4 linked regions of the Arabidopsis thaliana genome follow. The protein of the gene in region 3 binds, or shares a complex with, the protein of the main gene of each other region. Each region holds a gene or a part of one and is shown on either strand. Other genes may lie near its edges. A codon is read from its position in the direction of its gene.

The links.
Region 1: the proteins of AT5G40810 (region 3) and AT3G52730 are in contact, whole or in part, in a cryo-EM structure (PDB 8BEL), measured with the Arabidopsis thaliana proteins. Residues at the interface, in NP_198897.1 of Arabidopsis thaliana: Pro79 (codon at 4,649), Leu84 (codon at 4,664), Ser85 (codon at 4,667), Ser86 (codon at 4,670), Tyr87 (codon at 4,673), Asp88 (codon at 4,676), His89 (codon at 4,679), Ala90 (codon at 4,682), Arg93 (codon at 4,799), Gly119 (codon at 4,877), Val120 (codon at 4,880), Ala121 (codon at 4,883), Tyr122 (codon at 4,886), Thr123 (codon at 4,889), Glu126 (codon at 4,898), Ala129 (codon at 4,907), Met130 (codon at 4,910), Glu133 (codon at 4,919), Glu238 (codon at 5,406), Asp239 (codon at 5,409), Glu265 (codon at 5,607), Lys268 (codon at 5,616), Leu269 (codon at 5,619), Phe272 (codon at 6,103), Lys273 (codon at 6,106), Trp274 (codon at 6,109), Phe276 (codon at 6,115), Leu277 (codon at 6,118); in NP_190841.1 of Arabidopsis thaliana: Glu39, Val42, Asp43, Val46, Leu49, Trp50, Asn53, Asn54, Lys57, Arg58, Tyr59, Ile62, Ser63, Val64, Leu65, Gly66, Gln67, Arg68.
Region 2: the proteins of AT5G40810 (region 3) and AT1G15120 are in contact, whole or in part, in a cryo-EM structure (PDB 8BEL), measured with the Arabidopsis thaliana proteins. Residues at the interface, in NP_198897.1 of Arabidopsis thaliana: Glu66 (codon at 4,610), Ala67 (codon at 4,613), Gly70 (codon at 4,622), Leu71 (codon at 4,625), Glu72 (codon at 4,628), Pro74 (codon at 4,634), Asn75 (codon at 4,637), Tyr76 (codon at 4,640), Pro77 (codon at 4,643), Trp78 (codon at 4,646), Arg94 (codon at 4,802), Phe194 (codon at 5,184), Thr198 (codon at 5,196), Arg201 (codon at 5,205), Asp202 (codon at 5,208), Pro203 (codon at 5,211), Pro204 (codon at 5,214), Ala205 (codon at 5,217), Gly206 (codon at 5,220), Ile207 (codon at 5,223), Tyr215 (codon at 5,337), Pro217 (codon at 5,343), Tyr218 (codon at 5,346), Asp232 (codon at 5,388), Glu233 (codon at 5,391), Thr241 (codon at 5,415), Pro242 (codon at 5,418), Thr244 (codon at 5,424), Glu245 (codon at 5,427), Ala246 (codon at 5,430); in NP_172964.1 of Arabidopsis thaliana: Val6, Val7, Asp8, Pro9, Lys10, Lys11, Glu14, Tyr28, Val32, Ile35, Lys43, His44, Cys45, Thr46, Gly47, Tyr49, Phe50, Trp53, Gln54, Asp57, Ala61, Leu64, Phe65, Leu68, Lys69.
Region 4: the proteins of AT5G40810 (region 3) and AT3G10860 are in contact, whole or in part, in a cryo-EM structure (PDB 8BEL), measured with the Arabidopsis thaliana proteins. Residues at the interface, in NP_198897.1 of Arabidopsis thaliana: Asp65 (codon at 4,607), Glu66 (codon at 4,610), Leu283 (codon at 6,136), Ala286 (codon at 6,145), Tyr287 (codon at 6,148), Arg290 (codon at 6,157), Leu291 (codon at 6,160), Ser294 (codon at 6,169), Val295 (codon at 6,172), Ser298 (codon at 6,181), Arg299 (codon at 6,184), Lys300 (codon at 6,187), Leu301 (codon at 6,190), Val302 (codon at 6,193), Leu303 (codon at 6,196), Asp304 (codon at 6,199); in NP_001327236.1 of Arabidopsis thaliana: Lys9 (codon at 1,588), Ala10 (codon at 1,585), Val11 (codon at 1,582), Val12 (codon at 1,579), Tyr13 (codon at 1,576), Ala14 (codon at 1,573), Leu15 (codon at 1,570), Pro17 (codon at 1,564), Phe18 (codon at 1,561), Gln20 (codon at 1,555), Ile22 (codon at 1,549), Met23 (codon at 1,546), Gly25 (codon at 1,540), Leu26 (codon at 1,537), Lys67 (codon at 933), Arg71 (codon at 921).

Annotation. Positions count from the first base shown.
Region 1 is NC_003074.8:19,540,551-19,547,606, forward strand, and holds AT3G52730 (ubiquinol-cytochrome C reductase UQCRX/QCR9-like family protein), read right to left. Parts: upstream 3,761-7,056; 5' UTR 3,618-3,760; coding exon 3,498-3,617; intron 3,197-3,497; coding exon 3,077-3,196; 3' UTR 2,719-3,076; intron 2,647-2,718; coding exon of another isoform or gene 2,596-2,646; 3' UTR 2,269-2,595; downstream 1-2,268. Other genes in the region: ACA1 (alpha carbonic anhydrase 1), read right to left, coding at 1-202, 494-566; AT3G52740 (uncharacterized protein), read right to left, coding at 5,896-6,318. UniProt on the Arabidopsis thaliana protein: Component of the ubiquinol-cytochrome c oxidoreductase, a multisubunit transmembrane complex that is part of the mitochondrial electron transport chain which drives oxidative phosphorylation.
Region 2 is NC_003070.9:5,197,720-5,204,693, reverse strand, and holds AT1G15120 (Ubiquinol-cytochrome C reductase hinge protein), read right to left. Parts: upstream 2,047-6,974; coding exon 1,922-2,046; exon of another isoform or gene 1,824-1,921; coding exon 1,774-1,823; intron 1,630-1,773; coding exon 1,602-1,629; intron 1,211-1,601; coding exon 1,126-1,210; intron 1,012-1,125; coding exon 922-1,011; intron 867-921; coding exon 744-866; 3' UTR 501-743; downstream 1-500. Other genes in the region: AT1G15125 (S-adenosyl-L-methionine-dependent methyltransferases superfamily protein), read right to left, coding at 19-69; PSS1 (phosphatidyl serine synthase family protein), read right to left, coding at 2,706-2,913, 3,009-3,101, 3,187-3,440, 3,522-3,613, 3,702-3,786, 3,890-4,006, 4,092-4,171, 4,258-4,312 and 4 more. UniProt on the Arabidopsis thaliana protein: Component of the ubiquinol-cytochrome c oxidoreductase, a multisubunit transmembrane complex that is part of the mitochondrial electron transport chain which drives oxidative phosphorylation.
Region 3 is NC_003076.8:16,336,115-16,344,618, forward strand, and holds AT5G40810 (Cytochrome C1 family), read left to right. Parts: upstream 1-3,748; 5' UTR 3,749-3,888; intron 3,889-4,056; 5' UTR 4,057-4,085; coding exon 4,086-4,145; exon of another isoform or gene 4,146-4,474; coding exon 4,475-4,686; intron 4,687-4,794; coding exon 4,795-5,074; intron 5,075-5,156; coding exon 5,157-5,228; intron 5,229-5,318; coding exon 5,319-5,435; intron 5,436-5,555; coding exon 5,556-5,621; intron 5,622-6,096; coding exon 6,097-6,213; 3' UTR 6,214-6,813; downstream 6,814-8,504. Other genes in the region: ATR (Ataxia telangiectasia-mutated and RAD3-like protein), read right to left, coding at 7,746-7,895, 7,995-8,189, 8,279-8,504. UniProt on the Arabidopsis thaliana protein: Component of the ubiquinol-cytochrome c oxidoreductase, a multisubunit transmembrane complex that is part of the mitochondrial electron transport chain which drives oxidative phosphorylation.
Region 4 is NC_003074.8:3,394,911-3,401,426, reverse strand, and holds AT3G10860 (Cytochrome b-c1 complex, subunit 8 protein), read right to left. Parts: upstream 1,853-6,516; 5' UTR 1,613-1,852; coding exon 1,443-1,612; intron 962-1,442; coding exon 913-961; 3' UTR 672-912; intron 616-671; 3' UTR 501-615; downstream 1-500. Other genes in the region: MES17 (methyl esterase 17), read left to right, coding at 1-199; GLY2 (Metallo-hydrolase/oxidoreductase superfamily protein), read left to right, coding at 1,905-1,951, 2,048-2,170, 2,576-2,737, 2,858-2,936, 3,083-3,196, 3,299-3,475, 3,597-3,671; AT3G10845 (RNA-binding (RRM/RBD/RNP motifs) family protein), read right to left, coding at 3,901-4,006, 4,125-4,148, 4,227-4,315, 4,403-4,517, 4,599-4,660, 4,781-4,856, 5,078-5,163, 5,252-5,332 and 5 more. UniProt on the Arabidopsis thaliana protein: Component of the ubiquinol-cytochrome c oxidoreductase, a multisubunit transmembrane complex that is part of the mitochondrial electron transport chain which drives oxidative phosphorylation.

The sequences.
Region 1 (7,056 bases), on a different chromosome or scaffold from region 3:
ACGTGGTTCACTAGTGTTGCGTTTGTGAAGTAGTATTCACGGTGTATTGAATTCAATTTGTGGTTGTAAAATATTTGCCTCCTTTGAATATCAATTGGAGATTGCAATTTACCGACCGCGCATGTGGTGAAGTGAGGGTTTAAGTGTCCCCATTGGTTTGGTCCATTTTTGCCTTTATATCCAAACACTACTCCTTCTGTCTCTGCTCATTTATTACCAATTTGAATACGGTTAAAACTTATAAAGTTATATTCACTAAGCACAACACATATCGTTTTAGACGGTTAGACCCATACCAAAAACTCTCATATAATAGCACGATTACCATCATTTACTTGATCGTTTTAAACTTAATTAAATCCCATCCTATGTATCAAACTTTGAACTTTCTGATTAATTTATTGTGTTTTCTCTAAATAAAACTATAAACATGTGAATGCATACTATGAATATAGAAATGGAGGGAGAGAGAAACAAAGAGTGTAAGCATTACGAGCATCTGCAGGTGCAATGCAGATGAGGGACATGGAGAAGAAGCAGAGCTTAATCATCATCATAATCTTCATCTTGTGTTTTAGTTCCTGTTTTGTTGGAAATCTCTGCTAAAAAAAAAGGGAGAAAAAGGGTTTGCATTAAGAAAAAAAGATGAAGAAGATATATTTTCCAAATCTGGAAACTAATTAATGAGTTTTTTCTAAATTAAACCTGTGGAGGGTTTTATCAGATTACTGCATGACTGACACGGCGGGAATGGCTCTGCTATATATAGCCCTCTCTTCTTCATTTTTTTTTTCTTAAAATAAAAAATAAATAAAGGAAAACAAAAGTTAAAGAAAAACCTAAAAACTAGTGTTATCCAATTCCAAGTGATTTTCTGTGGTACGATATTCCCTAAATAAACAAACTTAGGGGTGGGAGATCATCATAGGTCTATGTTATTAGTTTAATACGTTTTCTAACATCGTATTATTAACATAAAGTTCTTTTTATCTTGTCAACATTAAAATATTGTAATTATGTTGTGTATTTCTTTTAGTATGTACGTGGGTCAATTTGTAGTAATAGTGTTGACCAAAAATTACATAAGTCAAGGAGTTCAAGTCGTTGGTCAATATCATTTTTGGAGGAAAGAATATAAGCTAAATTAAGGTATAGACTAGAGACCACATTTTGTGTGCTTTTATTGGAAAACTTCCATCAAAGATGTGGAAACATAGGAACCTCTGTATGTCTCTTTACATGCAGTTAAAACGGTCCTAGCTATAACGTTGATTCCTTTAGGTTTCTATTTCATGGATCCGATCCAAAGATAATAGATGAAAGTTTTCGAATGTGTTTCTTTTAATTTCTTTTGTAAAGACCTATATACTAAACACTTTTTTGTTAAAACATTATACAATATTGTCAATTTCAAAACTTTAACGAAACAAATAATTGTGTTATCTTTTTGGTGTGTGTTACCTTTTCGTATAATCCACAGATGGTGCCTGCCCCATAAAAACCCGTCTCCCATTTTTCTTTCTAGCTTCCCACTTCTTATCGAGAGAAATCTTTCACTATTCTTAATATATAAACTGTTTATTTAAAAGAGCATTTCATTTAGAGAAATGAAAAAAAAAAAAAAAAGAGAGGCAATTCTCAGAAAACGTAAAAGAAAAAGTGAAACATGTGATGTGATGATCAGGTAGGGGCGCAGAACATAACATAACGTCTCAAGACAAAATGTTTTCGGAATATTCATTTGTCCATATTCCGACTCCGCGAACATCACATTTGCGCTTCCTACTACGATTTCTAAATCTCTTGTCGCAACAAACAAAATGCATTATGCGAATCTATGGATGGATAATTCCATTTGAAAGATATGTATTGATTGGTTTGCACGATGTTGATCGTCTCTACATGCATGGCCTTTCGAAAGTAGTGGTGCAAGTTATGTGATTTATGATAAAAGAGATCGTCAAAATCTAATCTTGAACTTTTGCCCCACAGCTTAGTGGAAGTCTTTCAGCTATGTGCACGAAATCGAACCAATGTGGTTTTGTCGGTTTAATTCCCACTTAATTCTGTAAATTCAAGAACGATGATGCTCTATCGACAGTGACTTCTCTGGTTATTCTTCAAAGAATTCGTATAATCATTAATCTTCTTTCTTTTTTGGGATCCAACATTTGAGTAAACTGATTGAAAAATCCTTCCAAATTTGACCCTTGGCAAACAAATGGAAATCTCCATGATTACTATTTCTCGAAGATGGATGAAATTAGACCTCAGAATATGGGCACTGCATATTAAAGCGACGCTTCAAGAACCCAAAAGTGAAGAAAAGGACGATTCACAAATGGGCGTTTTAATGGACTTGCTTTTAATAAGGGACAAATACTTGTAATGCCAAATGACGATTTATGATAATGTTATCATATTCCACAATGCAAAAATTCAAGTAATCAGAACCAGATAGCTTTAGGTGAAATATGAATCATCCCAATGATTTTATATTTATTCAACAAAGAAAGAGAGACGTTGGAATGCAAAACAACATGGAAATTTCCAATTCTTGCTTTTGGTCTGAAGAGAATTCAAAAAGAAGAAAGCTCATTCCTCTACTGGCCTTTGACCCAACACAGAGATGTCTTCATATCGTTTCTGCGCCATGACAAGAAAATCATTGTGAATACGAATATAACCATTCTCTTTCAGACTTTCACAGATACTCACACAAGGCAGAAAAATCAGGATGTCGAAGGTAGAGGGGGAACTATACACATTCCAATAGAAGCTAGAAAAGGTGAATCAGGCATCAATAGATTTTCGAAAAGCATTCACCTATTAGCTAATAACACTAACAACAAGCAGAGATTACAGAAGATGATTACGACGATGACATGAAACCAAAGAAGTGTGTGTAGAAAAATGTGATCATTCCATATCTCAAGATGGGCAATAAAGAGAATGAAGAAACAGTTATTACCATCTAGACTCTCTAGTTCAAATGACAGACAAACATTAACATCACCAATACTAAACATTTCCGAAACAAAATGCAGAACTTCGAATCAAAAGAGTAACAAAAAAATCATTCATCGTCAACATATTTAGGCATCAGATTGCATAAAACATGATTCAGAATACAAGAAAATAAACATACCCCAACATTGTTGCGTTCCCAGAGCTTATGAACACCGTAATCCACAGCCTGCAACCACAGATTTTAACATTTCATGAAAACTCCATTGTCTGTTCATGTAAACCTCTTCACATATAAGACCCCAAAAAAAACAACTTATCACCAGATTCTTCTCACAAAAACTATAATCTCCAGCTCTCTATTGTAGATTGATTAACCTCTCCAACGAAATTTCTTCACTAAGATTATCATTTGACAACACCAAAATCCCCAATTTCGTTCCAATCAAACCATACACACAAAAACCAGATCCGGTACAATACGAACCCTAATAAGCTATAACACAACCAAAAAGGCTCTGATCTCTTACCCGTTCACCGAAAAATGCGCCGGCGATGATGAAAGTGACGTAGACGGAATTACGGCGCATGATAAGTTTGTAAAAGCCTTCGAAAGCGCCTTTCTGATTTCTCCGAGCAGCGTACTCCATGATTGATTGGTTGTTTTCAGGTATCTGATCTCTCTACGTATTTTAGGGTTAGAGAAAGCGATCTACGACAATGGCGAGAGCGAAGAAGAGAGACGATGAGATTTTTCGCAACTAATCAGAAATGATTCTCTTTTGACTAGTTCGTATCTAGAAAGGCCATTTGGGCCTCAATAGTTCGGCCTCGTAGCCCATTTATTTTAACGGACCCAGTACGGCCCTAAATGTTAAGCCCATTTTGACACCCCTAACATTAGCAGAACAATCTGAGTTTTGGTTTGTCCCAAATCCCCAAAGAAATTCAGGCCCAAAATAATTTATTCGAATAAGTAGTTTTGATTGGGTATTTGAATATTTTTTTGAATGTTTGTATATTTTGGAGAAGTATATATTCCTATTATAAGATTTTTTTATTTTTTTTGCTAAGAAATATTATAAGATGTTATTCGAGAATGAGTATATATCCCTGTTCATTGAAATAAGACATCAAATCTCTTTTATCTATATTCAAAGGATTTTCTTGATACAAAGAAGGAAATCAAATTCTAGCAAAGAAAAATTAAAGGTATGATTTTTCTTTAACAAATCTACAAATTCTTTGGTTTGATATGAAGGAAAGATATGATCATCAGAAAACAGTGATTTTGTTTAAAGCTCGTTATATATGATTGGATTCATATGAGAATTCAAGTATGTAAGCGAGTATAACTCAGTCTTGTTTAAATTATTTTCATATTGAAATTATGTGGAGAGAAAATCATATGCAAATAAGTTAGAAAATCATGGATCCACATAATTCCAATTTGAAAGTGATGAGCTCTATTCAGTTATAGACTTGAAGTCTTGTAATCTCTTATGAATCTAATCATAGCGAGCTTTAGGTAATATCACAGTTTTCTATGATCATACCTTTACTTTAAATCATTCCAAAGTATTTGTGGATCTTCCACACTCACGTACTCATTCTTGGGGGATTTTCATGGAGGTAATGTCAAATGAATTCATAGCTTTCGATTTCTCTTTGCTTTGAGTTTGATTTTTTTTTTCTGATTGTATTAGGAAAATCTTTTAAATCTAGAGAAAGGAGAAAAGAGATAGAAGATTTCATGTTTTATTCTGATGAATAAGGGTTTTTTAAATATGAGTTCAAAGAAAGGGTTTTACTTGGTGACAAAGTAAAATTTGGAGTATAAACACTTCTAAAAGATGGACTTTATAATGGACATTCATCTATTATTAATAACAATGTTATGTATAGTGGGGTTTTTTAACGGGCAAACATCTTTTGGGTATTTGAGTAATTTACATATCTAAAATCATATTTCACGAGCAAGTATTTTAAAATACTTTGACTTAGGTATTTTGGTACCCATAAGCAATTTTTCACATAAGAACTCAAATATGTGTGTGAACTGAAAGTAATAACTAACCAAGGTCGTCGTTTCTAGATTCCTAAGTAAATAACTAATCAAGATTTCTTTTCAATAAGTCCGCTCTGATCTCTTTAATCGCGTTGTTACATAGTTACATGTCTAACTCATGGCACAGAGAGAGATGCCAAATAAAAGGGATAAATGTTGAATTGGACTTATAAGAAGCTAAGAACATGATTGGGCATGTTTGGGCACATGCAAAAGGAGCATTAGGAAAACGGGCAAATGTCACATTCACAATTTGATATTCTGAAGAAAGAAAAACTGCTGATTCAAAATCTTGAGGTTTTTAACAAAAGAATCCAAAAGAGCGAACCATATTCTAAAATTTAGAGCGGACACATTGCAAATATTGAACTTTGAGAATGAGGATATTCGCTTCCCTTCAGATTTATGAACTACAAATATGTATATTTATACTTATATACATTACTCAAATCTTACTTTCCTTATATCTGAAAAATGCAATAAAATTTCTAGTACTGATTATAATTTCTATTCGAATTTTTTCTTTTTAATTTTAGTTTTGATATCTTTCTAAACTTTTAAAAATTTTCCTTAAAACTTTTTCTAGATATCTATCTTTTCCCTGGAATATTAGATATTCTGATAGTTGTAGAGTATAGATGATATGGACGGATCGAATCAAAAGTATTAAAAAACAAAATCACAAAATCCGTTCTACACTAACAGAACAACTAAAGGCAACTAAACACACTCAATTTGCAATGTTTCATAAAGTTACGAGTAAAATGAGTTAGAATATTATCAACAATGTAACAATAGTGCCTTATATTATTGAGGAACAAGAACCACATTTATAAGTATGTTATCTTATTATATTAAATTCAACGTAAGATCAAGCAACGATTATGTAACCCACCAGAAGCTGAAGCAGCTCGCCTAGCTTCCTCTACGAGAGCAGTACGTGCAGACGAGATTCCGGCAGGGACTAGACACGTGTCAAACGTTGAACAATCGATCCAATCCTTAAGAAGCTCTTCTTGTCCCCATATCTCCGGTATCCAAACCCTACCAGCGATCTCTCTCCGATGCTTCTTTAACCTCTCTCTCCCAGTGTCCACTCTATCTTCTTCTTGACTCTGCTTCGGTTTCTCTTCAAGCAAAGCTAGATCTTTCTTGTCGGCCGAAACAGAAGAAGCTGCTTCTTGGGGCAAACTTGGCGGATCTTGTTTGGTTTGGTCGGAAGGAGGCTGAGATGGACCGATCGGGTGGGCCATTGGAGACGTCGTATCGTCGATGTTCATCATGATGACACAATAGTAAAGCAGATTCAGATTCTTGCAGGAAACAAAAAGATGAAGAGAGATGTGTGATTTTGTTTGTGTTGAGAGATTCGGTGTTGATAATATGTATTTTTTGTTGGGTTATGTAAGGAAATGAGAAAATCGGGTGGGAGGTTGTCTTACACGTCGACGTAAGTTTTTGTTTGGTGAATAACTTTTTTTATTTTCGCTTTTGTTGTATTGTATGGTAAGTGACAACTTTACGTGTCTTTTTTGCAGATTGAATTGCTTTGGCCCTTAATTTTTTGAGCCTATATAAATAAATAAATAGTCAATATAGAATTAAACTATTGATTAGATAACCTAAAATTCTATCAAGTGATCAAGTCTATTGTAATTCATTTTTTTTATTTTTTTGCAAGTGATCAAGTCTATTCTAATGATTTTTGCCAGGTAAAACTCTCAATTAAAGGAATTTTTTTTTTTGTGTGACCAAACTCAACTAGAGGATCCTTTATAAGTAACTTTCAATTAGAGGATCTTAATTAAGAAGAGATTTAAGAGAGAAAACGGGCATTTTGAATAATCTTGTGTCTCCTAAAAACATAGGGCACTAGTCAAACAAATTTTGAAGAATCATTGTTTTTTTTTCATTCAAAATGAAAATATGTAATTAAAGAGATTCAGGTTTTCAACTGTTAATATTTTGAAATAATGTTGGGGTCGTATGTAATTCGTGAATACTCATTAGTTATGTGTATA
Region 2 (6,974 bases), on a different chromosome or scaffold from region 3:
GATGTATATTATTAAAACCTGATAGGAAGAGTTGCGAGCATAGCTAGAAGCACCGTCTCCACCGTTCATGGCTATGTAATGGTATTGTATGGACTGGTATTACACTTGCTAACCCTTAAATAGAGGGTCAAATGGGAGAATCTACATAATTGCTGTAGAGTGTCAAGGATAAGATTCAGTCTAATGCAGCCGCCGCGGGCCATACATCTCACTCTCACTCTAAAGTCCAAGCTGTCCTTCAAAAGTGGCTGCTGCATGCATCACACACTCCACTAAACAGTTCTTCACTTCATTCCAGTCACATGTGATTTCACCATAAGACTATTCAACCTTCTTTCACCTTCAAAATTTTTTAAAAGAAAATATCTTCTTGTAGCCGCCATCATTAGATAGTTATCTTTTTAAGACCAATAAGCTTCAGAGTTAGTCCGATCATAAACTTTGGCAAGCTCTAAGAAATCCTAATCAATGGCCATAGTACCAGGCCACCTAATAGCAGAGGCTTGAAAATCTCTCTTTATTGAAACTTCAAGCCTAATGATTTGTTTGACGCATTGTCTACGACAATTGGACCAAAGAAAGGCACAACATATCTTGTTATTAGGCCATGCAATTACTCAAGTAGCAAAAAAATGTAGTAAGCGCAAACTTGCGATGGAAACAAAACCAAGAAGCAGAGCCATTTGGCAATCTGGTTTGCAGTAAAAAAAAGTTCAACATCCACTGCATTTTATACATCAATTTTAAACCACATGTAGCAAACTCAAGACAATAGAGTCTCCAGCTTCACCTCTTTTCATTTTAGTTTCGCAAACAGCTTTGGTGCAACCTGAAGATCCAAAATCCAATTTCATCTCAGTATCAAACTTTAGAAGATATCATATGATGAAACAGCAAAATAACATAATTCAAGTAACTTACACATTTGTCAATGCATTGCCAGTAGTCAAAATACTGGCCAGTGCAATGCTTGTGGCCAGAATCATCACCTTGGATTCTCTTGACACATGCCTGAGAACCACAAACAAGCCTTGTATCAGTCAAACAATGATCTTCACAAAACATGGCACTGTGTCAAAACTTATAACACAATTCATAATTAGTCACAACATCAACCAGTTTCACCTGATATTCGAGAAGTGGCTTCACACATTTTGGTTTGCAAGATTCCTCAAGGTACTTCTTTGGATCAACAACTTCATCATCTGCCCTGAAATATTCAGAAAAACCACAGGCATCGAGGATGCAACATCAATGGCTAGATATATAAACTACTCCCGTGTGAATGATGACATACAAGAATCGTCTTTACGAGCAAAACTAGAAAGAACATAATTATCTAGTTTTATCACTCTTCCTTACAAGATAAAGCTCTGATTATATGATGCGAAAACATAAGCCAGAAAAATGAATAGAATCGGATCTAATCATAGACCGACCCCTACACAACTATAGAGCCACAATAAAAAAAAAAAATGATTCCAGTCTAGAGATTCAGACACGAATACTAAAGGGTCTACATATGTTAGAGATCCATCTACACAACATGATTGGAGATTGGAGATTGGTAAGAAGGTATCGAGTTTAAGGAATAAGCTTACATGTTGAAAGTCAATTGGAAGCTGAAGACTGCAAGAGATAGAAATGAAAATTAATGTCAGACAACAACAGATTCGATTGGTTCGTGGGACGATGATATTCACAGATCTCAAAATGAAGAAATCGAATTTGGTATAAAAGATCCCATGAATAAAAAGAGGATTTTGGCGTTACCTGAGATTGAGAGAGGAGATCGAGACTCGAAGAAGCAAGGAAGAAGAACCCTACAGAGATGTTGTTTGAGTCAGTCTTCAGATTCATCATTTTCATTGCGTTTCCGACGGGCTACAAATATGCAATTTGGGCCTTTGATTCTTGAAACTTTAAAAGCCCATTAAAGACTCGAGATTCCCTAGCTTCTTGGAATTCTAAAAGCCCATTCAAGACTCTAGATTCCCTTAAGGGCATCCTATCCTTGTCAGAATATTCCTTAACTTCTGACATCATCCTTTTTTTGGCTTCTTTAAGAAAGTTGGAATAAAATAGGAAGTGATGATGGAAGAGTGATGTTAAGATTAGATAGATAGTCAAAATTGTCGTCGAAGATGTCAAATTACGAATTTGCAAACCTAAGATACCATGTGACATGTTGTTGGGCGGCACGGCAGGTCACACAATCTTAATATTATCCTCAATTTATCATATTTGATTCTTTCTTCTTCTTTTTTTCATTTCCTTCAACAAAACAAATAATCTGTTTGATAGAATGATGATAATACAAAATAATAGACCAGAATAACAAAACTGGAACCAATAATTAAAGACAGAAAAATTGAATGGTGGTAATGGAGTTAATGGCAGTAAAAGCACAATAATGTTGTTAATGTCATGTAAGAGTTGGCAGCACAAAACAATCATCTCAAAAACCAGAAGAAACAATGGCTCAATAACTTCTTCTTCTTTTTTTGAACTGTTGAAAACTTGAATGTGTGAATGGTAACAAAAAATTGACATTCAAACCAACATGTTTTGTCAGATTGAGGGGGCAGAACAAAGATGAAAGAACTTTTGATGCATGAAAGAATTGATGGAATCTTCGTAAATGTTGAATATCACACACTATCCCTAAAGAAAATTGCATTTACATCGTTCCTTCTTCTCCCTATTTACAAAAAAAAACCACAATGGCATTTCACTGTCTCACCTCTATTTCTCTCTCGTCTCTGCTGCAACAATAATGATGCGCTTAACGTCTCTTTTGCGCGAGGATCTTCTGGATCTTCCATGTCCAAGACAGCAAGAAGGCCACAAGTCCAAGTCCCACACTTCCCCATAGTGTCACTACCCACAATGGCATTTCTGTTGGGTACAATCCTGTTCGTATCATAACCATACAACCAAGTTTACACTCTCCACACTATGTAACTGTAACCATAAATAACTAAGGCAGAGCATGTGTAAGGAACCACCTACCACTTCCAAACTTGATGCAGATGAGAAGTTCTACTATGCATATCCCCAGTGACAGCCAACAGAATGCTCCCACCTTTTTCACAGGTTTTCTGTGAACAACCAAAACTACACAAGTTATATACAAAACTCTTTCCAAACTAACTCCAACCAATATCGCAGTGGCTATAGCTTTACCTGTCTTGAAGATATGAATTGTACTCCCGTGTTGTTGGTATCGCTATGAGCCACCACAAGATCAGCCTATAGAGAATCACTGGGTTTCGAGGGGGGATCCACAGGCTAAACTTGAGAAAGAATGTGTTCAGCTCCACTGTCAAGAATATGATGCAAAGAGTGAGTACTTGAATAAAACGCCAAGGTCCCTGCAGCGGATGCCACTCGTCTTTGTCCCAGTGAGCTGGTGTGAACTGCCCCAGTGTCCTTTTCACCTGAAAAAATATACAAAATTCTCATTGGATGTACAACGGCTAGGACCATGTGTATGCACTCTCAAGGTTGAACAAACCTACTTTGCCAATAATGTTAGGCTGGCGGCTAATGCCAACCCACTCATATGTTTTTCCATCAAAATATCGAACTGTATACATTCCTGCCCAGATACCTACCATGATTAAAACAAGAAAAGCTGTTATCCATAACATGTTTAAAAGCACTACATATAGAATAGCAAGGTAGCTTAAGAATCATACCAAACCAGTTGCATATCAAGATATCAAGAACAATACTGTCCCACCAGCACTCGTTGAAATTTGGTAACATATGCCGAAAAGTAACCTGGAGAACATAAATATAACTTTTCGGTGACACAGGCGAAGCGATATTTTTGTATATATCAAATTGGAACCTGTAATATAAGAAAACGAAGACAAAGACCAACCTCCAATAACTCAAAACCAATTGAAAGCACCCAAAGAAGCGGCTGGTTCCGGATCAGAATTGCTTTCCCCCACCAACCAAAGATGTGAGCCAAGAAAAACTCATCAAATACTGTGTCCTGATAAATTTTAATCAAAGCATAAGCCTTTAGGTGATATGAAGGTTGGTTAAGGTAAAGGGGAGTTGTTGAGAAGATACCCTACATAAAGATTCTTAAACCTGTTTGTTGGGTGATCAGGCACATATATACGGCAATCAGCACCGTATGATTTCTCAGGAAGTTCTGCAACATGAGCAAACTCAATAAGATGGTCAATCATTGATGTGGTAGCTCCTCGAATAAACAGCATTCCTCTCCGAAACTCTTACCTATTCCAAGGTCAGGGTGGAGAAACTTCATGAACTGCCGTGCATCATCACGTCTCTGGGAGCATGAATAATGTAACTATTAGAGTTTGCTCACTTAAAACAAGAATCCATATATAAATCACAGGCATAGGCAAGTAAGAAGGATCTAGGGAGGAAAAAAAAGTGAACCTGAAAGAGCAAAAAAGTAAGTGCAACTAAGTAAATGACGGCCATTCCATGAACTAAGCGCCAGATTGCAGGATGGGGCCTGATTAGAACCCTGCATAAAGCAAATTACTTGATTAAAGACACATCACAAGTATCACCAACAACCACAATCTACATTATAAAAGAGAAAGCAAATTAATAAAACAGCTGAGATGGTAAACAAACGTTGAAGGGGCCTGGAGCAAAGAGTAAGCAAGAAAGACAGCGATCATAGCCCACACTCCCCTAGAAAAGGAACATAAACATAGTAGACTAGTGTTAATTGATGGAATCAAATGAAAAAAGAAAAAAAAACATGATGTGGGCAGAAGGAAAAAGAGAACCTTTTGACAGAAGTGACAAGATCATCAGATGTAGTGCTGTCAGGATCAAGAGCTCCACTAGCCCAACTAAGTAAAATTCAAAACCAAATTGAGGATTACGAGAAATGGGCAGAGAGGTAAAAGGGAAGAAGCAGGAAGAAATGATGACTCACATGAGAAAACAAGCGCCAATAAGGAGAAGAGAGATAGTGCGAGGCTTGTAAGCCCATGCAGTCCATGGATCAAGATCAGTCTCAACATCACCACCACCACCATTCATTCTCCCCAAATGTTGTTCCTTTCTTCTTTCTTTCCTGTACCCATTGGGTTCCATGGCCAAAACCAGCTTCTGAAGTATTGCTGATTAAAAACAAAAAGAGAAACTTTAGCTGGGAGATGAGATAAAGAGGGGCCTGAGGAGCATCCTCGAGAGAAATTAATGAATAAAAACTGTAAGAGAAGAGAGACGAGAAAAGGCAGACAATGGAGTGTATACAGAGAGAAAAGGTACAAGGTACAAGCAGAGAGAGACAGAGAAAGGTTCTGTCTTTGCAGAGGTAAAAAAGCAGACGCAATATCAGAAGAAGATTAAACTTAAAAATAAGCCAAAGTAAATGAAAATGGTTAGCAATAAAAAGAAAAGAGAGGAGATTTGAGATACCTGAAGAAGAACCCTAGAGATTGATTGGAATGGGAGAGAATCAGAGGAAGAAGAAGAAGAAGTAGGAATCCAAGTAGTAGAAAGCTCGATGATGTTGATGAATAAAAAGAAGAGGAACGGTCAAAGTAGAGAGAGAGAGAGAGAGAGAGAGAGAGAGAGAGAGAGAGGGATAGATACGGCTTCTGCTGCTGCTTCTATTCACGATCTGAAAACGACTCTGCTTTCTTTCCCCCACGATTCCCTTTTTTTCCAGAACTACCCTTTGCTTCTTCTCCTTTTTATAGGCTATCAAATGGTGACATCAAAATATGCAATATTATGTGGTTTGGTCTCACTATCATCATCTATCCATATTATGTCAAAATTTAGGCCCTGATTTTTAATTTAGTTTTTGAGTTTAGATTTTAGTTTCTGAATTTTAGATTTTAGTTTTAGATTTTTGTTATTATATTTTTTGTTCAAAAAATCTCCAAAAAATGGTTTTTGGTTTTTGAGAAAAATAACGTTGATTGAACAAAAACTAGATTTCCTAAATTTTACAAAAACTAAAAAACTAAAATCATGAATGGAAAATTACAATAAAATAGTTTTACTAAATTGTAGGGAAACCAAAATTTTAAAATCTTGATTGGTATGAAAATAAGTTTTTAAAAAACAAAAACCAAAAACTCTTACAAAATCTACAAAACAGGCCTTAAGAATTTTTATTTTATTTTATGATGCGGTTTGGTATAAATGTGGTTTTGGTACATACAGTAATTGAAATTTGATGTGGATTCGTTTGTTAATTACTTGCCAACTTTATTTGAACCGCGTATTAACCATTCAAATTAGACCTGTTCAAATGTAATTTACATATATATAAAAAAATTCCAAAATTGAAAATGTTTGGGGAAAAAGAAATGTATGCAGGATGACTAATACAAATTTTAATTTGTAAAAGGAAATGTTTTGGTCACTCATAGTGTTAGAAAACATTTAGTCAAAATTTGATGGTTCCATACGCTAACCAGTGTTACCTTTCGTATTTATCATAAATCTAGTGTTTTCAGATAAAGGATTAAGTATATATGTAATGTTATTGCCTAATTTAACATAAACAGAAATACTATTCACATATTCTATTTGACAAAATTAATTCATGTTTCACCAGATTCGTCTTTAAATAATTTCTCTGATTAAAGCGGTTGTAATATGCGTTACGAACAAAAAAACGGTAGTAATATATACTCCATTTAAAAAGGCTAACATTTATGGGGTTGGAATGATACTCAATAACTCATATGATTGTTGTTTAATTGCAGCCAAATAAAGCACATCAAATGCCAAATTTATTAATATTCTCATTTAAGTAATTGATTTGACAGATATTCCCAAAAGTACAAAGGAGAAGCAGAGAATAACATCCCTAATTAGGAGTATCAAACAATTAATTTTATTTTATTCTTTTCATTGAATGAAAAAAGTGTCATATAATATGAAATTAAAGAGAGGCCTAACAAGTGAAGTGATGATATAGACTCTTCTATGTGCTTGAAATCGTCACA
Region 3 (8,504 bases):
GTAGACGTTCTATTAACTGATTAAGGATTACACAAGCCAACGATTACAGGTCATACGCTGGGTCATAACATTGACAAATATAATAAAACATTTTTGTCATTGTGTGCTATTTATGGGCTGATATATATTATGCATGTGTGTATATATAAGTTTATATAAATTGAGGAGAAAATATATCTCATATCAATATATATATTTTTAGAAGTACTAAAATCCCATTGCCACTTTTGATATCAATTATATAAGTGATGGTAACTCATTTGTATCATTCGACGACGGATGTAAATATAGAAAATAAGTGATGCTATCCACCCTTTGATTTTAGTGATATGAGCTAGCTTTTGGGAGTAGCCTATCTAACCCATGCTGCAAAACATCAAAGCCATAATGTGGACTAATTTAAGTATATCGGCTTTACATATGTGTGTATATATGTTTTTTTTAATGTTTATTTACTTTGCTTGAGTTCATTCATACATGCATGAGTGATCATATTCAAAGAAGCCAGCAATTTTTGAAACAATGTTATATATTTGTGACACTAACATATTGAGTTTATGCATGGCTGTTTAAGTAAATATATAGAAAAATTATTAAGAAACTTAGGAATAACTCTTTTATAATAAAACTAGTATATACAGTATTACAAAAATTTGTTTTTATTTTATTGAATTTTAATAGATGTGAATTTTAACTAATTAAATAGAAAATTTAGTTGAATGTATATAATATTTACAAATAACTATTCAATTTTATTTATAAGAAAATACATATCTCATAATTTATCTTATTATAGGTGTAACATTATTTGTTCTTAATAGTCGTTTAAATGTGGTTTATTAATTATATACATATACAATCTTAATTAATTACATGCTAAACAAAATTGTACAAGATGGTATATTGGTATTCAGTCCACTTTTATAGCTTTATTATTCAGTTGTGGCTCTAATCAAATTTTTTTTAGTTCTTTTTCAATTTATGCAATATAGAAACTGTACGGAAAGGAGATGGTTCGGTTTTGCATGATATTTTCCAGCTATAAATGGCATGGTAGACTACTTAGCAGCAAGTATTTGTATAAAATATGACTGAAATCTTCTGAAATATCTCGGGCTCGAATCCTTTAAACGAGCATTGAGATTCGAGATATATCAACTAAGCTCTCCATATAAAGGAAATAAACAAATATGTATGGTCGAAGCCGATTAAAAAGCAGGCACACACAAACATTAAATTATACTATAGGCAATGTGACTTTATAACATATATCTCTCTCCACATAGGTCTATATGATAATTTAATTGGATGGTTATCCAAAGCACCCAAATAATTCTGGGAACTGCGATGTGTGATCTGATTGGCTTATTGCTCTTTATTAATATGAGATTTATAAGTATATGATAAAATTAGGTGTATGGGTCCCATGATCAGGCTAAAACAGCATCTGGTGTTTTTTACCACATTTCAAGACTCTTGTATGGTCCTTCTTTGTCCTCCCAACCAACCAAATTGCATGAAGTGTCCTCCATTTCAAAATTGAAAAAACTGGCATGTCAGGGCACATTTGGAAATATATACATGTGTATATATTGTGTCTCTATTTATGGAAGTGTAAAGCAATGACCCATAAGGTCTTCTCATTGTCCTATGGTCGGATCTATGTACTTATGTAGCTCCGGTTCTAGGGATGTGCTCTCATTCTATAGCTAAAGTCATCTTGGTGTGGTTTTGGGTGTGTTAATCATTTAGGTTCGGTTAGAACATTTCACGGAATAAACCTATCATTTGCATTTGATATCTATGAAAAACATTTCACGGAATAAACCTATCATACGTATCTTTCATTACCTTTACATAATACATCACACAAAAGCATAAGTATTCTTTCACCTTGTCATTTTTTTTTGGGATAAATTCTATCGGTAAAAACATACTGAAATACGCTAGAGTGGATTCTTTTCACTTGTCATAAAACCCAATAAAAATCATATTTATTATTTTATTATTATTTAAGTTCGTTTCTTAACATAATACATTACCACTATCTAATACCTCATATAAAATTAGATTTAAAATCCTATAAACACACACTAAATTCTGAAAGAAATAATGTTAGGTTGTTTAATTTCTTTTTTTTGTTTGTCAAATCAGATATATTGATATAAAACAAGGTTACAAAATATATAAACATTATAATACAATTATTATACGCAAATACAAAAATTTGATACAATTTTGATAAAGGAGTGAAAGTAACCCGACATTACAAGCAAATAGGCGTTGGTCATGATACATAAATATTTTTTAATTATAAGAAAATTACTATTATTTTAAAATCACAAATTTTAAACTGTATATTTTCTTAATTAGGCACTGATGAACAATTCGTGATACAATGTGGAAACATGTCTCAAATCGAAACCCTTATTTGATATGTTATTAAGATACCTGCTGGGGAGGTGCCTCATCCCAAAATAAACTAAATTAATTAACATTCATTTAGGTAGAAAAATTACTATAATGACATACTTAATCATATAATTATACTTTTCCTTCATACCACCAATAAAAGCAGATCGCTATCTAGCTCTTAGACAAGATAATAGCATAGCTTTTAATTTTGATAAAGCTGAATGGTCCTTGTAGATAAAGTTAAGAGAAGAATATGTTTTTTTTTTTACAAAGGCTTGTTTTCATTCATTCACATAAAAACAAGTACAAGAAGGAGTGATTCAAAGATCACAAAGTTTAAAACATAATTAAAGGAGGTATTCCCCAAAGCCAAAACATAATAGAGGCATTTCTCTAAGACACGAAAGGAAATGCATAGCATTCAAACCGACTCATATTAAATCATCTCTCATAAATGAAAAACTACTTCCACTTGAGACACTAAAGGACTCACCAATCAACATATTAAGAAAGTTACTGTTTCGTGGCTTGAAAATATGTAGAAAAGCTTCCAGGACGATGTCTCATTCATTAATTTTCTGATGATTCCAAATTCGTTTTCCGAACCACAACTTATGATTGCAAAAACCTAATGATTCGGCTTGAGTTGAGTCATGATGAGAATTTCTCCTGCTTAATTAAAATTCTGTTTTTAGGTATAAGAGATTCTATTCAGCAAAGATATTCAAGATGAGTAACAGATATTAAACATACCATGAACATTCACAAACCTGTGGGAATTAATATATGAACTTACCTAGCAAAAGCGAACATGTAATTTCTCATTTACATTTTCCCGTACTATGTAAAATTGAAACACATTTTCAAGTTTAAGGAAGATTATAATTTTGGAGTCGATGTAGTATCCCGAGAGCATACGAAACATATGTTGTATTTTCAAATTTGCGCCTCTCGATATTGAACTACAATAATGCATGTTAGATTCAAAGCAGCCTCGCTTTGGACCCTATAAAATGAGTTAATGCAAGCCATAATAATTTATCGATCGACATATTTACTAAACAAGCCAGAATGTGATCTCGATCTCAGCCTGTGTTAATCTTTTTGTAATTGAACATTCTGGACTAATGAACTCTTCACTATTGAAAAAAACAACAACACATAGATCATTTACACAAAGTCTCCCTTTACTAAATTTCAAGATTTGGTCCATTTATTCCAATGAGAAATATTCCAGATATTTTTTTTGGCTGTTGACTGTACGGATAGGCCCTTAATGGGCTTTTAATGGATTAAATTAGGCCCATGATACTTGAAAAATCTGAAAGGTGTTGTTGTGTTGTGTGTGACAGTCCAGTCGCGTCATCCGGAGACATCCATTTTCTCTGGTAGCTGTTTACTTCTTCTTCTTCTTCTTCTTCTTCTTCCTCCTCCTCTGTTCGTCAATCGCCGATCTCGTTGCTTCATTTTCCTGTGAGTATTTTCTCGATTCGACACATCTCATATCCGAATCTGCCATTTCTTCATTCAATTTTGTTTATTTGTTGGAACTTCGGATCTATATAGAGAATCGAGTTTTCTAGGGCTTACTCATTGTTTCGGGTATATGTAATGGCTGAGAATCTTCTCTGTTTGTATCAGTGAGATCGATTGGTACAAGTGTTCATCCAATGGTTGGAGGAGGAGTTATCCGGCAGCTTCTTAGAAGGAAACTTCATTCCCAATCAGTCGTGAGCTTTTTCCCTGTTACATCTTTTTGATTTTCTGCTGTAGCTTAGGATCTGTTTGAAGATAGAATCATATGATTTGTTTTGGTTCTGTCTACACCTTCATTGCTCTGAGAGATTGTCCTTGAAGAATTGTAACTGGAATTGTTGTGGCGTTGGAGATTTTGGGATATAAGAAACTTAGACTTATTGATTTGTGCTTCGAGAGTATGATTAATATTCGATTTCTTTTCAGAAAAAGTAGTCTTTTGATTTGTTGAGCATACACCTTCTTGTGTCTTGGCCTTTTTTTTTGTTTTCTTACTGTTGTTCTGTATTATCTACCACCATAGGCAACTCCGGTATTGTCATGGTTGTCTTCGAAGAAAGCGAATGAAGATGCTGGGTCTGCTGGTTTAAGAGCATTTGCTCTCATGGGTGCTGGTATTACCGGATTATTGAGTTTTTCTACTGTTGCATCTGCTGATGAGGCTGAACATGGTCTGGAGTGTCCTAACTACCCTTGGCCACATGAGGGCATTCTCAGCTCATATGACCATGCTTCGTGAGTGTTCAAGCTACAATTCAATCATCATAGTGAAATTGCAACACTAAAGTTGAAAATTAGAGAAATTTGAGACTGCTTTACTGACGGTTGATTTGTAATGAGCAGGATCCGTCGTGGTCACCAAGTTTATCAGCAAGTTTGTGCGTCTTGCCATTCGATGTCTCTGATCTCATACCGAGACTTGGTGGGTGTTGCCTACACAGAGGAAGAGGCGAAGGCCATGGCAGCTGAAATCGAGGTTGTTGATGGACCAAATGATGAGGGTGAGATGTTCACCCGACCTGGTAAACTCAGTGATCGGCTTCCTGAACCATACTCAAATGAATCGGCTGCTAGGTTCGCCAATGGAGGAGCGTATCCACCGGATCTAAGTCTTGTAACTAAGGTTTGGTGCTCTTTCTCTCCATTTGTATACAATTAGAAAATTCATCTACTATGATCTAAGCAATTTGGCTATTTTCTTCCAGGCACGTCACAATGGCCAAAATTATGTCTTTGCTCTGTTGACTGGTTATCGTGATCCTCCTGCTGGAATTTCGGTAAATTTCTCTCCTATTTTTGCTTTAGACTTGTTATTACAACTTCAAATTGTTGGAAGTTAGAAATAATCCTGTGACTAACGGGTACAGATCAGAGAGGGGCTACACTACAATCCTTATTTCCCTGGTGGAGCAATCGCTATGCCAAAAATGCTCAACGATGAAGCTGTGGAATATGAAGATGGAACTCCTGCAACAGAAGCACAGGTTAGTTTTCCTCTGCTTAAGAAAATAATTTGCAGACCATAAAGTTTTATCAGATTTGACCTTTCCTCTGAGTCAATTATATAATCTTTAATTTTTCTTTTTTTAAAAAACATGATGCAGATGGGTAAAGATGTTGTATCCTTCTTGTCCTGGGCAGCTGAACCAGAGATGGAAGAGAGGAAATTGGTAAGTTTCTTAGTTTCATATATTCCATGTTTTAAGCTGTCGTTTCCATATGTACGAGATTGCAATAGGAATATCAATCTGGATTCTGATTATTTGATTTTCAGATTCAGTTTGAGAAAATTGTTACCAAACTTAAACCGGCATAGTATAGATTGGTTTTGGATGTAGAAAAAGTATCGCCATTTTATCCGTGTTAAGATTTCCTTGGTTCTGTCTTCTGTATAGCGGGATGAACACACCTAGTTGCATAGTTGTGTTGAACACACCTAGTTGCATAGTTGTGTTGACCACACTACTGCTTGTTTCTTGAGGCTGCTAATCTCAGACCAAAACTATTATCAAACATGAACCGTATTGTTACTCTGTATTCAAAACCGTCATGTTGGTTCTAAACCGACCCAAAAAAACCCGCTATACCGAGAATCCAACTCTTTGTGCTTAGATATCTGTTAACGTTGGTTGTATGTGTGTGCAGATGGGGTTCAAATGGATATTCTTACTGTCTTTGGCTCTGCTTCAAGCTGCGTATTACAGGAGACTGAAATGGTCAGTACTCAAATCCCGTAAGCTTGTTCTCGACGTTGTTAACTAATCCCGTGAAGATCACCTTTTCTCTGGGTAATAATCATTAATCTTGAAAGGGATAAATGGTGAATCCCACTTTTTGTCTCAAAAGACATGTTTCTTTGTTTATTGTTTAGAAAGTCTAATGAGGCAAAGAAGTAAAGCTTTTTTAACCTCAAGTCACACATGATTTTGAGATTATATTATTTCTTTTTGGTTTGTTGTCTCCTAAACCGGACTCGGTTTGTCTTAATAAAAATGTGGTTTTACAATCTCTCTCCTATTTGTATATCACAAAACATGATTTTGTAACTATTAAAGTTAAAAAGTTAAAATCTGTGGTCTATTTCTGATAGACCAAAACTCCACAGAACAACCAATTTACCTCTGTTGCGAACTCGATTTTGTAAAACTTAGAAAAATGTAGGCAGGATTTAGACCCGTTAATGTAAAACCAGTTCCGTTAAGACATTACCAAACAAAATTGCACAATCCTACAGACAATGAAACAAACATGCAGGATCGGACAAAACCTCAAAATACAAGTCCACACTTTTAATTGTCCCTTGGAATCAATATTTATAAAAATGTAATGAGCTCAAATTTTTATAACCTATGAAAAGATCAAAATCTTGATTAAAAAGAAGAAAAAAACCAATCAAATCCTGGCAGGCTTCTGCAGAACAGCCGAGAGAAAAACCTCAGCATCAGTTTTCTCTCCAACAACCCATTTCAACTTCTTATACCCAAACCTCTCTATCAAACGCGTAAGAACTCTCTTCTTCTCATCATTACCGCAATAGAAATTGTCTAACTAGAACAATCCACCGGGTTTCAAGATCCGATCAAGATCAAACATCAAGAACTCTAGCTTCTCGGGTTTACTACTAACCGCTAAATCCAATCCGTTAGAAGCATGAATGAGATCAAAAACATTGTCATAGAACGGGAATCTCTAATCCAAACTCCCTCTGAACAACGGAAAAATCCCTCTTGTAGCTATGAATTCGCTGAAAGGAGCATCTATATTTAATGTAATACCGATAATATTCAGATTCTTTTCAGCCATTCTAGCAGCAAACGTGCCTGATCCGCTGCTAATATCGAATCCGATTCGGATTTTCCCATCGCCTAAACCCAAACATCATCTATCAGGAAATCAGTCTTCACTTTAACCTTAACAAACCTATCTTTCTCATGACCAGAGCTAGATCAAAGCAACCAACAAAATCCCGGCTCAGTTAAGACCTTTCAAGCATTCAAAACTTTTGCAGCCAAGACCGCTCCAGTTAACACTATTGTTACTGACCGTTCTCCACAAAGAATCATGAAACAGTGCGAGACCTGGCTTATGTACTGTTTTAGCTTCAACTTCTACAGGAAGTTTGTGCACAAGGAGCCTATGATACAAGTAACATCTGCATGTCAAAAAGATTTGTAGCCACCCATGTTTTCATAGGATAGTGTTATCTGCATGTCAACTTACTGTATTAACATAAATGGCATTATGAAAACTGGTGTAGTGTGAACTTAACAACAGCTGGTGTTCAGAGATTTTCATCAGAACCAGGGCATCCACCAGATGTACATCTTCCCAAGATTCTCAAGTGAGACTGCATCGGCAATCAACCGGCGAGCCTGACCTTCTACCGGTAGCGGAACACCAACAACCACGCCCTGCAGCCGGGCTTCAATGCTGCTTATGGCCCGCTGTAATTGCCAAATCATGTGGTTGTCTCAAGCAATTAGAAAAAAAAGAAAGGGTAAATGAACTGACATGAAAGAGAATCATTAAATGATTATGCAAACCTGAGCATGTGGGTTCTGAACTTCTACTCCGCTTGATTTGTGTGACTTTGTCCACTCCACAAGAGGATCATGGATGAATGTCTCCAGGATGCTCATCAACGTCTCCCTATGTGTCCTCAACACTGTGAGAGTGATTTCACATACCCTCATGAAGATGCCCTCATATCCAGTGATGCCCAAACCATCAATCATGTTCTGTGGTTTGGAAAATAACAATTCACTATTATGACAAACGAAAACAAAATACCAACAGAACACAAACAAACGATTTTGCAGTTTCTTGCCTGGGTCAATCTGAATGGCACCAACTCAGGCTTCTCCAGTTGTAAGCCTTTGTCAAATAAGCAACTGAAGTCTACATGAACACAATCACCCGAAGTAGAATCAAAGAGAATATTTTCTCCATGACGGTCACCAAGCCCAACAATGTGCCCAACCATGGACCAAACTGCTGTGGTGTGAGCATAAGCTACACGTGACCTAAACCAAGCAGCTGGTTCAGAAAACGTT
Region 4 (6,516 bases), on a different chromosome or scaffold from region 3:
AGAGGAGCAAGTGCCGCGCGTGTACATCAAGACGTTACTCGACCGGGTCATGAAACCGGAGCAGCAAGACGCGATGATAAGACGGTGGCCACCTAGCCAAGTTTACGAATTGGAGAGCGACCATTCTCCTTTCTTCTCTAACCCTTTTGTTCTCTTTGGTTTACTCATCAAAGCTGCCGTTTCCGTCGGTTCTATCTAAAACTATTTAAAGAACTAAAGGATTGCCTTTTGTTGGTTTTAAAACCGGTTAAGTGATCAGTATTGTCGAGGGAGTGTTTATTTATTTTTGATTTTTGTGACATTTTGGTATTTTATATTAATCGTTTTGAAATAAATTATGTTTTGCTTAATTTTATCTTGCGTCACAAAAGTGAAATAAATTTCGGCAAATCGTGTAGTTTTATATAAATCACTAATTTGCAGTCTTCCAAGGTCTACTTAAAGTCCTAGCCGGTATCGACACCAACTTCACAGTTACCTCAAAAGCCTTAGACGAAGAGAATGACTCCGCTGAACTGTACTTGATGAAATGGACAACATTTCTAGTCCAACCAACGACTCTGTTCATCACAAACCTTGTAGGAGTGGTTGCAGACTTGCAGTGTTTGATTTTGCCTAATAGTTGTTTGTAGTTGATGTCTTAAGGGAACATAGGCAGCGTTTGATTTTGCCTAATAGTTGTTTTGAGGGATCAATATATTACTCGATTCAATCCAATTTTCATACCATATATCAAGAAAGATGAACAACAAGAGTCATTGTCATGAAACCCAAACATTTATTTAGCAAAAGAGTTTCAGAAAAACTGACTCAGAAGATTCCCACAAGAGTTTTTGTGAAATTTATAGGCTTGAAACAAAAGAAATTACTTCAAACTGTCAGGTTCTTGTAGAAAAGGAGTGACTTCATGCTTCAGAATCTGTGCTCAAGCTTCTCCTGTTCCTTGAAATACTGAGCATACCTGCATTCATTGTGTGTATTTGAAAGAATAAGCACAAAAGATGACTAGAAACTAGACCATAATATGCAGCACCCGTAATGTTTAGATCGATCAGGTAACTAATAGCTTCACAAGCAAGAACTCAACAGTTTTAATAGAACCACACTAATCAGCTAATGATTACGACTAAGCCATTTAAATCCTCAACATCTTGAAATGCAATTCCACAGAGTGGTTCATCAACAATACTAATTTGATACCTGGAAGACTTTTTCTAGCTGAGAGTCTCTATATACTACACTCCACTTAATACTCATCTCAAACTAACTTAAATCCTATCATTTCTCATTTGTTCCTATGACACAAACGAAGAACCCTATATCCATATGCGCCGCACAAGACCGATGACACAGATCGAAGAACAATCAACCAGATCGGAACTCGATCCAAAGGTTCCTTTACCAATCGATTGATGAGAGAGATAGAAAGAGAGATAGAGTACCAGTAGGTTCCAACGACAGGGGTAACGAGAAGAGTGGCGCTGATCCAATTCTCAGAGACCTTGTGGTGGATCTTCTCCGGCAGATCCTTCCAGAGACCGGTCATGATCTTCTGCTGAAACGGAGAAAGTGCGTAAACCACCGCCTTCAATTTCACCGGCTGCTTCCCCATTTTCTTTTTCTCTTCCCAGATAATCCCAACAACAACAATCCACAGTACGAGAACGAATCTCCCCCAAAACCTAAAATAAACAATTCTCAACGAAGCTTATGTTTTTTATCCGATTCCGGTTCAGTTACAATTACAATTGAACCGGATGACCGGCTGCAAAATTTATCCTGATTTGTTTCGGTTCGATCCGGTTTGAGTAAACCGAAATAGATAAATCACTAGTCCAGACATAAATGATGATGATGATACAGCTAGTGTTCCGGAGGAGAAGGACGATCGATCTAAGGAGACGATGAAGATCTTCCACGTTCCTTGTCTGCAAGACAACTACTCTTATCTGTGAGCCATTTTGATATCCTACTTCAATTTCGTTGCTTCTTAATCTGACTCGGTTCATCATCAGTTTAGGATTCTTTCTTCGTAAAAAAAAAACAGGATAATCGATGAGAGCACCGGAGACGCGGCGGTTGTGGATCCAGTTGATCCGGAGAAGGTGATCGCATCGGCTGAGAAGCACCAAGCTAAGATCAAGTTCGTACTCACTACGCATCATCACTGGTAAGTAAACCTCACTTCTCTCTATGTCACTGGTAACTTATCTTATTTGATTCATCTCCGAGATTCTCTGTTGGTTCTTATTACTCAGTGATATCGACATATGCTAGATTCCGGTCCTAGACATTAACATTAGTACAAGTCTATTGTTAAATCTCTCAGTTTTCTGATCAAGTGTTTAGCTTTTTCCTACTATCAGTTTCAACTGACTTAGAGATTCATCTTCGTGAGTCTGATTCTTTGTTAAAGTCTGATACTTTCTGCATTAATGTTTCACCTCTTGAAGATGCAAGATTTATTATATATGTACCATATGATGGTTGCCTTTGTCTTCGATGAAATTTGGATTTGAGGCGACGTTTTTATTTTAACACTCATTGTTTGATTGGTGGCTTGATATGATCAAAGGGATCATGCCGGTGGAAACGAGAAGATTAAGCAGTTGGTTCCTGATATCAAAGTATATGGAGGTTCTCTGGATAAGGTGAAGGGTTGCACTGATGCGGTTGATAATGGTGACAAGCTGACTTTGGGTCAGGATATTAACATATTGGCTCTCCACACTCCTTGGTTTGTTTTTTTTTTTTTTTTTTTTTCCAATGAATTTAGATGCATCTAATCTACTTGATGTTTAACTCAGTCATTTTCTCTTGTCATCGCTGATTCCTCTGATATATCTACTTGTTACAGTCACACCAAGGGTCACATTAGTTATTATGTGAACGGAAAAGAAGGAGAAAACCCAGCCGTGTTCACCGGAGATACACTTGTAAGTGGTAACATTAAGCTGAATCCTCTTGTTCTTCCCTACCATGGACCCTATATGTTCTCCGTAGATCTTTTATCTCTGTAAATGTCTAAATGGAGATAGTTATGAGTTAAACATTAAGCTGTGTTTACTTTGATTTTATACAGTTTGTTGCTGGATGTGGGAAGTTTTTTGAAGGGACAGCTGAGCAGATGTATCAGTCGTTGTGTGTGACTCTGGCTGCATTACCTAAACCGACACAGGTTTACTGCGGCCATGAGGTAAAAAAATCAACAGCTTCATTATGTCTTTTGAGTTCTTAACTCATAAAAATGGATGCCTATAAACTGAATAATCCGCTATTCATTTCTTATGGTTCTCAGTACACCGTTAAGAACTTGGAATTTGCTCTAACTGTGGAACCAAACAACGGGAAGATACAACAGAAGTTAGCATGGGCCCGTCAACAGCGCCAAGCAGATCTTCCCACAATCCCTTCAACACTGGAGGAAGAGCTCGAAACAAATCCATTTATGCGTGTTGATAAGCCAGAGATACAGGTTATTACTCCATTTGGTTCATCTTCTTGAACAATTCATGATTCGGTTTTATCAGCTATCACTGTTGATATCGATCTTTACTTTCTTGTCGTATATCGAGATTAACTTTGTTATTTTCCAGGAGAAACTCGGTTGCAAGTCGCCAATTGATACAATGAGGGAAGTTCGGAACAAGAAGGATCAGTGGAGGGGATGATGATAAATGGAGAGCTTCTTGCCTATGTTTTGTGTACTTGTGTTGAATGATCCTGTAAAAGGTGTATGAACCAGTAATGTTGATATTCTGTGTGAAACTGTGAACCGGTTTGGTAAACCGAAATCAGACCGACCTGTAAGCCGTACTCCCTTTTTGAATTTTCAGTTTACTATGGATAATAATTTCAGTGTCTACACTAATCCCCGTAAAAAGAGAGCTTCTTCATCTTCTAGCAGTCGTCCCCGTAAGAGAAGGTAATCTTCTTACCGCAGAATCCGTTGGATTTTGCCTTCTGTTGCTTCAGATTCGATTCTCGTAGAAGGTTGTCTTCGTACCTGCATTGTATCAAAAACCCTTGTGATCTCTCCCCATTTATACGAAAAACTTCACCGAATTTGCCTTTGATAACAAAAAATCTCTTAAAGGCAAAATAGTAGTTAAAAAATCCCTTACCAAAGCTTCTCTGCAAGCTTGTACCTAATTAACAAAAAATGATAACGTTAATCTTCTGTTATGACATCAAAACTAGAGCAATAACATGGAAAATCAATGTACATGTGTTGGAGAGGGTATGGAGCTATCTCAGCCAGCTCAAGAAAGATTTTGTGATAGCGCAAACTTTTACCATTCCTCTGTTCCAGCGCCTACAGTATAAAAATATTTCATCAAAACAATTTCATCATATAAGTAAGTATACACTAGTTTTCATCATTGCTATAAAAACTACTCACCTTCTCTGCTTCATTAGCAGAAGCAAACTCAAAATAGCCACAGCCCATATGCTTACCCGATTGGTCAACAATAAGTCGAACACGAACAACTTCAAAGTCTTGGAAGAAATACAACCTGTAAACATGAAGAGGATAAAACATCAGTCATGAAAAACTTGCTCCAAGAACGAAAGAGTAAACTAAAGGTGCTACTTACATCCTTTGTATACTAGTTCTAGGAGGGAGATTGGTAACAAAAAGCGTCTTTTTTCTTGCTTCCTGTATTTAGCAGCCAAGTGTGTTAGCATGGCTCTAAGGAGGTAACAGTTTTGTTATCAAACACTTGAGCATTTCCCCTCTGAGCCTGACATATTTTGAAGATGATAACAACACGCGTACCTCAACAAAATAGGGAGTTTCAGCAAGTCCTTCCACTGCTGCCTCATCTCTTTCTTGTCCAAGGTAGTCTTCGTACCTGGAACATTAAACAACCCTTGTGATCTCTACATGTATACCAAAAACTTCACCCAATGTGCTCTTGATAACAAACCCTCAAGATGCAAATAGTTGAAAATTCCTTACCAAACCTTGTGATCTACGCACCACCTAGTTAAGAAATATAATATTAGTGTTAGTCTTCTGTGGTGGCAATAAGTTGACAGCAACAAATCTCCATAACATGGAAAATTAATTTACTTGGGTGGAGGGAATGGAGCTATGTTAGCCGCCTTAAGAAAAATCTCGCCATCCTGCAAATATTCACCCTTCTTCTTTTCCAGCGCCTAGAGTATAAATAAACGGTTTAACTAATCAAATGACTGCGACTTGTATACATTACTTTTCATCAATTACTAGAAAAACAACTCTCACATTCTCTGCTTCCTTAGCAGAAGCAAACTCAACAAATCCCTTGCCCACATGCTTGCCAGTGTGGTTAACAATTAGTCGATGCTGTAAAAAAGTGGAGGATAAAATATTAGTCATGAGAAACTTGCTCCAATAACGAAAGAGGAAATCTTAAGGTGCTACTTACATATCTGATATTATAGTCTGGGGAGTAAGATGGGCAACAAAGAGCGTCTTTTTTTTACTTGTGGCAACAGCCTGCGTTTAACAGCCAAGTGAGTTAGCACGACGCAAAGAAGAAAAGGACTTAAGGTTGCACAAAAAAAAAACACAAGATTTCTGTTATTATTATTAAAGGTTTCTGCTGAGCCTGACATATTGTGAAGACAACAAGAAGAGGTACCTCAGCGAAATCGGGAGTTTCACCATGTCCTCTCATCAAAATGATCTTATGACCATGAAAATATTCACCATTCTTGTTTTCCAGCACCTACAGTATTAAAAAGATTTAATCAGCTATCCAGCTTTCAAAAAACTAGTAGTATGTTTTTCATCATAAGTTTGTATACACTAATTTTCAAAATGACTAGTAAAATACTAAAATCGTCCATCATGACTACAAAACCAGTCTCACCTTCTTTGCTTCGTTGGCAGAAAGAAACTCAACAAAGGCACAGCCCACAGGCTTGTCCTCATGGTTTGCAATAAGTCGAACACTAACAACTTCTCCAACATCTTGACAGAAACCGAAGCTGCAAAAGTGGAGGGTAAAATATGAGTGATGGGAGAGTTACTTTTTCTTTGCTCAGAGAAGAAAAGTGGGAGTGCTACTTACATATCTAATATCTTAGTTTGGGGGGAGAGATTGGCAACAAAGAGAACTTCCTGTGCATTATACAGGAACAAGTGTGTTAGCAGGAAACAAGGAAAAAGTAGCTAGCAAGATTCAGCCCCAGAAAATAAGTAAACATTTCGAGCGTTTTGAAGATAATGAGGGCAGTAGGGTGGTACCTCAGCAAAATCGGCGGGAGGTGTCTCATCTTCTTGTCGTGGAAGGAAGTCTTGGTACCTAGAAAAATGGAAAACGCTAGTGATCTCTACATGTATACAAAAAAACTTCAAAAAAAAGTCTTGTTCCCTTACCAAACCTGGTGATCTATGCAATACCTAATTAATCAAAAAATGAAAAGCCTTAGTCTTCTGTGATATTGTATCAAAAAGTCTAGCAATCAGTTACAAAACGTGGAAAAATCATGTTTACTTACGTAGGAAGAGTCAATGAAGAGCTT